3 linked regions of the Kluyveromyces lactis genome follow. The protein of the gene in region 2 interacts with the protein of the main gene of each other region in a pairwise test. Links are inferred from orthologs where the notes say so. Each region holds a gene or a part of one and is shown on either strand. Other genes may lie near its edges.

Region 1 (4,262 bases), on a different chromosome or scaffold from region 2:
CCTCGGTATCCAACGCTTTTTCTTCAACTGCGACATCCTCCTCTGACTTATGGTTTACAGGAGCCGCTTCTTTTATGCTCTCGCTTGGTGTATCTAAATCAAGTAAGGTATGTGTATTCGTTGATGGAAAACCTTCTGTCTTACCGACAACTCCAACTCTTTCAGCAATTGCGGCTTTACCGTCATTGATCAAAGTTTGCTTCCATACGTCTACTACAGTGTTGATGGATTCTGCCGATTCCCCGTATGTTAAACTTAATAGGGCAGCTTCTGGCACCCTATTAGATTTTAATAGCAAGTCCTTTGCTCCAGCTATGTCACCTGCTACCCAATAAGCATTGAAAGCTAGGTTGAACTTACCAGAAGTCTCAGCATTCTTTGCCAATGAAACCAACTCTTCCCTATTGTTGAATGAAGAATATAACAAGAAAAGGGATTCTAGATCATTTGCCTTTTCATAACATTGCAAAGCTAAAGTGAAATTGAATTTCTTTAAGGCAGCATCACCCAATTGAATCCATCTGTTCTCACTTTCCTGCTCGGACAATATTTCTTGCGCCAGTGATAGTCGGCCTAATTTAATAGCTAGATCAAACTTCTGCTCAGCGTCTGGTGAAATTTCTAAGGCATCTTCAAACAAATCTTGTCCCTCCAAAAATCTAGAGATCTTTAGCAAGTTTTCTTTTCCTTGAACATTAGGTAGTACGGATGATTTGGCCTCAGCTAGTTCGCCTCTGAGTACCAATGTCTCGAATTCCAAAACATCAATAGATAGTTCATAACCATAAACATGGATATCTTTGTCAGCCAAATAAACTTTATCATCTCTTGGCAAATAACCTAATAAGTACATCTGCTTATCGAAATGTGCAAGATTATAGATTTTACCACCAACAAAGTAGTTTAATCTATTTGTTGGGGTGGTGAAAATGAAGACATCACCAACCCACTTACCTGACGTGATACCCTCTGAAACTTCGTATAATACGTCAAACGCATCTTCTACACCATCTTCATCAATACTTCCAGCTGAAACCGCCTCATCGTAAACATCCTTATTGAACAACAGAGCGTAAGCATTAGCTTCTTCAGCAGAGTCTGTTTCATGGTCTTTGTTGATGATCATAACAAGCTCTCCATTATCTGACCAGATTATATCCTTAGCATCGACATCAATTCTTTTCACTAGATTACCTGATTCCCAATCAAAGAAATATACGAAGCCGTCAGCTTTGACACCTAATACTGAACCAGGGAAGATTTTTTCGACACCGTAATCAAGCGGAATTGACCAAGAAGATACTTGTTTGAAGTTCTTGTAGTAGGTCACTGCACCCGTTTCCGTGATTAACGCATAACTATTAGAATCTGGGCCCCATGCAAAGTCATGGCATTTGCCGAAAGCTTTGTTTCTCCATGCTAAAGCAGTGTACACAATGAATTCGTCATCACCAACAACAGTGACAAATCTACCATTTGGGGAATGCTTCAAACTTTGTGGGAAAACGTCGATCGACCCTAATTCTTTGCTTTGCAAAGGAAGGGCACCGCCTTCTTCTACCTCTTCATTACCTCTAATGATGGCAGAGAAGACGTCAGTGGCTGATGCTTTACCACCGCAATAAACTAACTTACCAACTGGATCCAAAGATAATTTTGGTTGATCATCACCTAGGGATAGAACTGTGAAACCATTGTCGAAACCCGATGCAATGTAATTACGTTTACCAGATGGATGAGTAGCGATACACCAACTTCTTTCAAGCCCGATGTTCAACGTTTTCTCTAGTTTGTATGTATTTGCATTCCAAATCTTGAGAGTTCCATCCTCGGAACCTGAGATAATGATAGGTAAAGTCGGATGGAATACAGCATATGACACGTTAGCCATATGTCCCTCTAAAGTAGCAACATTAGATTTTGTCTGGTAATCCCACACCTTGATGGTACCGTCATCGGAAGTGGTAATCAAATAAGGCTTATCTTGTAACGGGTAATAGTCGACATAATTCACACCTTTAGTTTCATGTGCTTTCAAGGTGAAATTTGGAACATCTTGACCAATCGACCAAACTTTGATAGTGTGATCCAAACAACCGGAGGCAAATTGGTTGGGGTCCTTTGGGTTGAATGCAACAGACATGACGAAGTGCTCATGACCGGTAAAGGTTTGTTGGCAGCCCCAATTCTTTTCCCAGTTCCATAACTTAATAGTCAGATCATCAGAACCTGTCAGAACGAATGGCTTCGTTGGATGCACAGCAATGGAACGGATATAATCAGGATGTGCTTCGAATTCGGTCACTTTTTCACCGGTGTTATAATTATAAACTCTTAATTTAAAGTCATCGGAACCAACAACAACCCAGTTCTTTCTTGCAATGAATCTACCAGCTCTCACTGGAGCATCACATAATGGAATAGATCTCACTTGCGTTTGCGTCTCGTAGTTCCATATCTCAATTCTTCCTGAGTACAAGGTAATTAAAACCCAAGGTTCCTCAGGATGAAAGTCAATGCCCTTAACCCTGTCAGTTCTGGCACTGAGCTTTTTCTAAAGACAAATAAAGTCACCATAGATGAAAAAAATGTTAGTAAAAGCTCTTTCTTTTAGTTGCTGATAAGGGCTGAAGAAATATAATCTGTTGAATCAAAACATAAAACATAAATGTATTGATACCAGAAAAACGCCTAAGATACTTAATATGCAATTGCTAACGTTCAACAGCGATTCTCCGTGATAAAAGCACCTCACAAATTACTCTAGTACACAATGTGTCACATACATTGATGTCAAGTTTCATTGCTAATTTCCTTCCGCTCTGTTGGGTCTCTACCTTCGATGTTTTCTTCAACTAACGTGTTAAAATCATGAATGGATCTTTATTATTCAAATTCCCCTTTCAAACATTTTTTTTTCAAAGCCGTTGATGGACATGGCATAGGACCGGGTAATGTTATTATGATATTGATGTCAGTGTCAGTGTCACATAAATAAAGCATCAACTTGAACCGTTTCGGCTCGAGAGTACTACGAGCTATATGACTTATTTCCCCTAATATTACATCAATCTTCTCCATTTTGTATTCAAAGCTAAAGTTGAAGAATATTACTAATTATTATATTTGTTCGACAAAGGGCGCGATTTAGGCTATTCAGCAGAACAACTGCTATTTGTCTTGATAGTCTCATTTTATTAGAAGCTACAGCAGTTGTGTGGTTTGTTATAGAATGAGTAAAGGTCAACTATGGTTGTTGATTCTCTTTTGTTCTGCTCTATTTTTTGATTTTGCTTACGGGAAAGCACTATACCCTGTTCATACAATTGATAAAGCTTGTGCGGTAGGTTTCAACTCTGCCAACATGAATATGAAGAAAACGTTTGAGATATGGAGTGGGGCAACGATTCCAGTAGATTCTTTGCCTGGAGATACAAAGCTCTTCACTGGATTTAAAGTACACAGGGTATTTTATTTTCACCAGCTATATAAAAGATCAGGGAAAGCTTTGAAGATAACTTATTGTAACGAGGGTAAAGTTGTCTTTGAAACTGAGAAGCAACTTACTAATGATGTAAAGGATTGGAACCAACCGTGGTGTTTTTTTGAATCTAAAGAACAGGAAAATCCCAATAATAGTTTGAAGAACTTTCATTGTTTAAAAATGGCCAGAAGAAAGAAGTATGCGATCCGTCCATTTGATGTTTTTATACCCTACACTTGGGTTGGCGGTTTGTTTTATTGTGATGTGGATATGGATGCCAAACAAACGATATTTCAATCTTTACAGAGTGATGGAATAAGTACATCAAATGCAATGGAATTTTGTTCTTTATCTAATTCGATACCAATTCAGCCATTGTATGCATCGACTTATTCTGATTCCTGGTCAGAAGTTATGGCTAAGAAATTAATCCCATTCATCACTCTCCTGTCAAAGCGAAAAACAAAGACATATGTTCCATACTTACAGACCCCGAATTTGTCTATGGCTCCGACTAACTTTAGTTTGAGCTCATATTACATGAATACAAGTATGTCCCAGATACCTGACTTCAAGAGCAAACTTTCCACAAAAGAACTTCTCATCGATTGGTATTCAAGAAGGAAATCCTCAAAAGAGTTGTCCTGGTTTCAAGAGATTGAAGTTTCAGAAAGATATCATTATGATAAAGAAGATAATTTCAAACTCACGTTGGCAACAGAAAAATTGAAAGATATTATTTCGCCTTTGCTTCAGCTTTCAACCATAGAACAGGACA
Region 2 (3,440 bases):
TCAACAATTCTTGTATCTCATCCTTCCTTGATGGTGTTATCTGTCCAAGATAATATCCAGTTGTCAGAGATAATGCTGACAGCGTGAACAACACTGCTAAATTCAACGATGATGGTGCCATCTGGATAGCAGTTATGGTTTGATGTAGCTGTAGTGATAGTGTCAGTTTCCTCTGCTTTAATATGCTCTGCCAGTGATCTCCTTGTCATCACTTGGAATATATCGGTTTAATGTAAAATTTTCCTAAAGAAAAGATTATATGCAACTGCTGGATAGAAACGTATGAAGTAGGACGTCTGCTGGTACTTTAGACCACCAGATTCCTACTCCTACCTTTCGTATATTTATCCAGTGGCATTAATCCATTCATATGTGCATCCATGGTACACTTAAAGCTACCTTTTTACAATTCTATAACAAGTCTAATGTGAATACACGATAGAATACATACTGTGAACGAAACGGGAAAGGTTCAGGTTCAACTATTAGTGGATATGACATATACAGCGCTAGTCTTGAGTGCCAACTTTCTCAGCCCAAATTTGCTCTGCTTGTAGAATAGTATTGTGGTTAGCTTTCATTTTGTTCATTGTTTCTACGTACTCATCATATGGGTCAGAATCAAATATGATACCACCACCAGCTTGCAAATAGGCTATACCGTCTTTATAAACCATTGTTCTCAAGGCAATGCATGTGTCCATGGATTTTCCGTCATATGACCAGTGTCCAACGGCACCAGCGTAAACACCCCGTTTTTCACCTTCCAGTTCTCCGATCAATTCCATGGCCTTGACCTTAGGAGCACCAGAAACTGTTCCTGCAGGGAAAATAGACCTTAGAGCATCAAATCTGTTTTGATCCTTCCTTAGTGTACCACTGACTTGAGAGACAAGATGTTGGACGTGAGAGAACTTTTGCACTGAAAGTAACTCATCCACGGAAGTGGTGGTTGGATCACAGACCCTGTTCACATCATTACGGGCTAGATCAACTAACATCACATGTTCTGCTCTGTCCTTAGTAGAATTTCTCAACTCTTCCGCTAATCTGTCATCTTCTTCTGGAGTCTGACCCCTTCTGACTGTACCAGCAATGGGATGAGTGATAACTTCGTTTTTGGCATCAACTTGGCATAACAATTCAGGTGAAGCACCAATGATTTGGAAATCCAAATAATCGATATAGAATAAGTATGGCGAGGGATTCACAGTACGCAAGTGTTTGTAGATATTGAATGGGTGAAGTGAAGTTGGTCTAGCGACACGTTGAGATGGAACACATTGGATGATATCACCCTTCTTGATATGTTCTTTCAAATCTCTCACGTGCTGTTCGTATCCTTCTTGACCAATGTTTGATGTGAAAGTCTGGTTCAATTTGATTGATGGTTGTTCAGGTAATGGTATCGGACTAGATTCATCCTTCAAGATGGCGATAATGCGTTTGATAATCTCAGATGCATCTTCGTAACCTTGTTCCAAAGATGAGACCGTCTTCACATTGATATTAGTTATGATCTGGAACCTTTGGAAAACATGATCAAATGCAACAATGGTATCGTATAGCATCAAAGCAGATTCTGGTACTTGTAGCACATCTTTCAATGGTCTCTTCGTCTTTGGTTCAAAATACTGAACACAGTCGTAAGAAACATAACCAATAGCACCACCAGAAAGCTTGGGTAAGCCTGGAACATTTTCAGCCAATCGATACTGAGCCAATTCGTCTTGTAGAATATTCAATGGGTCACACGCTTGACCTTCAGTAGGACCAGTCTTGATAATCTTACGTGGACTATGACCAAAAAACGAGTATCGACTCAATTGGTTACCGTTTGCGGATTCAAATAGAAAAGATGGTGACCTCTCCTTATTGTTCAACTCACTCATTTTCAAATACGCCACATGAGGTGTAAGGTCCATTGCTGGCATGAAGTGGTATACTGGGTACATATTGATGGAATCATCATTAGCAGCGATGCATTCTTTAATCACCTCAATTGATGGCTGAATAGTAATATGATCAGAAGCCATTTTTAGTGTATATTTCTGTAAGAATATCTCTAATCACTTCTTTACCTAAATATAACAACCAGATATACTCAAATCTAGGACTGCAATGGTGGGTTGCTCCAAATATTTCACAATGCTCACTGTTTTATAGACAAGTCATTTAACTCATCTTGTTAAATTTTTCAATGTCCAAAGTCTGGATACTATGAAATTGAGTCATAATGAAGTGAAAGAGACACGATAAATGGTACACAGACAGGTGTTAGCTGTCAATTCCAATGCTTCAATAGTACATACATATGACCGAGCTACTTAGTCACTGATGCAATAACCGTCCTTATAAGGGAAAGAACAAGCTTTATGTAATTGAGACTACAACCGAGAGAACGAAGTCACGTGATGGACATCTGGTGATTCCAACGCTAGATACAGCACACTGTGTCCTAATATTGCCAAAGATCAGCTAGAAATCCCAATTTCAAGCTGTTTAGCAGTCCACAGATAGTATGGATTGGATAAGTCCCCCCAAATCCAGATGAAAGCCGTAGGGTCCCTGCTATATCACTTCTTTCCATTGCTCAGATGTTGAATTTGGTGAAACCTTTGTCACAAGTTTTCGGCAATTTTGTTGTTTTGAAACGAAAATATTAAAAGGAAGAGTTGTTTATTTCGCCACCTCAAAGATATCAGCGGATCAAGATAGCAATTGGTTGGAAGAAGGTGGTACAATAAGCTGCTGTACTGTTTAATTGAAGTTTGTTTCTCCAAGAATTTCAATACAGTCGACACATCCTTTTTATTGGTTGAAAGGACGGACGAAGAGACTAATAACAAGCCTTTTTTTAATAGAAACAATGGGTCAAATTTTGTCTAATCCTGTAATTGATAAGGAACAACATTCTGGTAGTGATGTTTTGACTGCTTTTGGGTTATGTGCTATGCAAGGATGGCGTATGTCTATGGAAGATTCTCACATTGTTGATTTGAACATTTCTGATGATGAGAAGGAGCATTTGGCGTACTACTGTGTGTTTGACGGACATGGTGGTTCAAGCGTTGCTCAGTTCTGTGGATCACAGTTCTCCAAGATTTTACAAAAACAGGATGCTTTCAAGAAGAAGTCTTACAACGAGGCTCTTATTCAATCTTTTATTGCGACAGATGAAGAGCTTTTGAAGGATCCCGTGTTAGCGAACGACCATAGTGGATGCACTGCAACGACTTTATTAATCTCTAAATTACAAAATGTAATGATTTGTGCTAACTCTGGGGATTCAAGAACTGTTCTTTCAAGAAACCATATTGCTAAGGCGTTATCGTACGATCATAAACCTACGTTGAAGTCTGAATATTCCAGAATCGTCACTGCTGATGGGTTCGTGGAAATGGACCGTGTTAATGGTAATTTGGCCTTGTCTCGTGCCA
Region 3 (3,353 bases), on a different chromosome or scaffold from region 2:
CTACGCTGCCCTCACAGTTATGATGGCAACTATACTTTTCCCCAAGAATCATTTCACAAGTGCGAAGAATCTATCTTTCTTTTTCGGATCCTTCAGTATTGTTGTCTTATGCACACATTTCGTATTTAAGAGGGGTATTCAATATGTGAACTGGCCAAAGTTAGTCGATTTAGGGTATTTGATTGCTGAGCACACGCATAACAAGGAGAAACAATTCAAAGGTGTTAGATACGTTCCTGATCCAAAGTTCGTTAAACCAAATTCCTTCAAGAGGGACTAGCATTGAACATTCCTTAATGTATAGAGCTTTCATTTTCATGTTTATTTACTCCATGACGTTTCTACTTTTATGACTTCTTCTTCCCAGTTTTAATGTTCGATACCTTTTGAATTTATAGTATCTGTATCATTCTTACTTTAACGTCTATATCTAAAATTACAGAAATACAATCATTACAAGTTGGTGGATACATACATAACGAAGGATGAAATGGACTGGTATCATTAGTTGATTAGCTCCTCGATGAATTTATTTACAGATTCAGCTCTCATGAGAGCTTCTCCAACAAGAACACCATGAACACCTTCCTTTTTATATTGATCAGCATCAGCTGCTATTGTTATTCCAGATAAAGCAATTAGTAGGGTTCCCTCTGGTACAGAACTGACCAATTTTGAGGTAGTACTCAAATCTACGTTGAAAGAGTGCAAGTCTCTGTTATTAACTCCGATCACTCTTGATCCAATTGCCAACGCACGTTTTAGTTCTTCTGCGGAGTTTACTTCCACTAGAGGTTCTAAATCCAAACTTTTTGCATAATCGTACAGTTCCTTCAACAAGTTGTCGTCAAGCATCTTCACGATCAATAGCACAGTATCAGCGCCTGCAAGTCTAGCTTCTAGGATTTGGTACTTTGAGAAAATGAATTCTTTGCGTAATACACATGGTCTTTTCGATTCGTCATTGGCAAATGCCACCTCCAACACTTTTCTTACATTTCTCAAATCTTCAATGGAACCTTTGAACCAGTGAGGTTCGGTCAATACAGAGATCGCTGAAGCACCTGCCTGACCATACTTCAACGCTTGCTCTGAAGCAACGACACTCAAATCAATGTCACCCTTCGATGGAGAAGCTCTCTTCACTTCAGCCAAGACTGCTGTTTTCTCAGTAGCAGTTAATCTTGCATAGAAATCTTGTACCCTTGGAGCTAAACCTAACTTATAGTTGGCTTCTAAATCAGAGAACCGATAACCTGGGATCGTCGATTGCAGTTGAACGTCTTCACGGCGTTTTTCGTAAATAGTTTCCAAGATAGATTTCGCTTTATCAGTGCTGGCTGTCTTTCCGAGCTCATTCCTAGCCAAGTTAGCTGCGTTCTCATCCCAAGTACCTCCTGATACTTCAAGAATATTCTTGATCATTTGATGCCCACTCTCGGTCAAGATAGATTCTGGATGGAATTGCACACCTTCCACAGTGTATTTCTTATGTCTCACACCCATAATAATTCCAGTCTCCGTTCTTGCACTAACTTCAAGCACATCAGGAAGTGTTTCCTTGGCGCCAGCAAGCGAATGGTACCGCGTCACTGCGACACCTTGAGGTACTTTTCTAAAGAAACCTTTTCCATCATGGAATATTGGTGAAGTCTTACCATGAACAATTTCTCCAGCAAAGCTAACTTCACCGCCAAAGACATCAAACATACATTGCTGACCCATGCAGACACCAAACACAGGGACTTTGCCGCAGAAGAATGCGATACAGTCTCTTGATATCCCGGAATCGGTCTCTGGATGACCTGGACCCGGTGAAATCATGACAATATCAGGGTTCAATGCTTCAACTTCTTCCACAGTAATCTTATCATTTCTGAAAACTAAAACTTCAGCACCCTCAGTGCAAAGATATTCATAGATGTTCCAGGTGAACGAATCGTAGTTATCGATCAAAACAACTCTTTTAGCGGACATGATATCAAATTAATGCGAAAACCTAGTTCCTTTTTATCACAGTATAGTGTAGTTGCCCTACTAGATAATTATCAACCAAATATAACCAATCGATAAGAAATTATCGAAAGTTTCTTCTTACAATTATTTCAATGCCCTTTAAGGGTTCCTTTAAATATAAAATCGTCTTGAACATGAGATGATTAACTGGTTCCACATCACAATTCGAGATGAGTCAAGAGAAAGCTTTGATGAAATGAGAAATTGAATCGAATTTCGTCCTAAATGATAAATATGTATGTGATGTACGGATGTGTCAACATTCAAATCCACATTCTTAAGGCAATTGTGCATCGCTGGATTGATTATTCCGTAATCTGACTTCCAAGTAACAATCTATAACCTCTGTTCAATTAGCTGAGCCCCTCTATCATCCATCAAATGCTCTTTCACCGTCGAATACCTACTCTTTCTCTGTTTCCTCCATACTAAATTCCAGATTCCTCAGAGTAACGAATTTAGAATCAGATCGGAAACGTGAAACTTTAAACAAACAACTAACACGTAAACAACACAATTAACAGAAGAGCTGCTCAGAGGTCTTATTAGCACCTAATTTCTGTCGGGGTATTGAATTGGGAAACAAAAGCACTGCTACAATTGTAATTTAGACAGAAATGGCAAGTATTATTCAGGCATCTGCCGCTTTGCGTAAACGGAAGAACTTGAAGAGAGGAATTCAGTTCACGGTGATGGTTGTTGGTCAGTCTGGGTGCGGTAGGTCGACGTTCATTAACACTCTATGTGGACAGAAAGTGGTAGATACTTCTACCACGATTATGTTACCAACGGACACAAATACGCAGATTGATGTGCAATTGAGGGAAGAAATCGTTGAGTTAGAAGACGAAGAAGGTCTTAAGATCCAATTGAATATCATTGATACTCCGGGATTCGGCGACTCTTTGGATAATTCTCCATCGTTTGACATTATCTCTGATTACATTCGTCACCAGTACGATGAAATTTTGTTGGAAGAGAGCCGTGTAAGGAGAAATCCTCGGTTTAAAGATGGTAGGGTGCATTGTTGTTTATATTTGATCAATCCTACTGGACATGGATTGAAAGAGATTGACGTGGAATTCATCAGAAGACTAGGTACTCTAGTGAACGTGATCCCCGTTATCAGTAAAGCAGATTCCTTGACCGCTGAAGAGTTGAAATTGAACAAGAAATTGATCGCAAAGGATATCGACTATTATTCGCTACCTATCTACAACTTCCCATTCGATGAGGAAGACGCGTCAGACGAAGATTATCAAACAAACACATATCTCAGAGGTTTACTGCCCTTCTCTATCATCGGTTCCAACGATGTGTTTGAATCTGCAGACGGG

What was found.
Region 1: the proteins of TRP2 (region 2) and SEC27 interact in a protein complementation assay, tested with the Saccharomyces cerevisiae proteins (2 studies listed by BioGRID). The link is inferred for Kluyveromyces lactis from reciprocal best matches to the Saccharomyces cerevisiae genes TRP2 and SEC27.
Region 3: the proteins of TRP2 (region 2) and TRP3 interact in binary tests that used the Saccharomyces cerevisiae proteins (3 or more experiments, as listed by UniProt). The link is inferred for Kluyveromyces lactis from reciprocal best matches to the Saccharomyces cerevisiae genes TRP2 and TRP3.

The regions. Positions count from the first base shown.
Region 1 is NC_006038.1:169,188-173,449, reverse strand, and holds the start of SEC27 (coatomer subunit beta'), read right to left. Parts: upstream 2,805-4,262; coding exon 2,787-2,804; intron 2,555-2,786; coding exon 1-2,554. Other genes in the region: KLLA0_B01936g (uncharacterized protein), read left to right, coding at 3,233-4,262. UniProt on the Saccharomyces cerevisiae protein: The coatomer is a cytosolic protein complex that binds to dilysine motifs and reversibly associates with Golgi non-clathrin-coated vesicles, which further mediate biosynthetic protein transport from the ER, via the Golgi up to the trans Golgi network.
Region 2 is NC_006041.1:1,779,945-1,783,384, reverse strand, and holds TRP2 (anthranilate synthase TRP2), read right to left. Parts: upstream 2,037-3,440; coding exon 510-2,036; downstream 1-509. Other genes in the region: PTH2 (aminoacyl-tRNA hydrolase), read right to left, coding at 1-121; KLLA0_E19977g (PP2C family serine/threonine-protein phosphatase), read left to right, coding at 2,870-3,440.
Region 3 is NC_006038.1:1,259,350-1,262,702, reverse strand, and holds TRP3 (bifunctional anthranilate synthase/indole-3-glycerol-phosphate synthase), read right to left. Parts: upstream 1,978-3,353; coding exon 505-1,977; downstream 1-504. Other genes in the region: phosphatidylinositol-3-phosphatase SAC1, read left to right, coding at 1-280; septin CDC11, read left to right, coding at 2,634-3,353.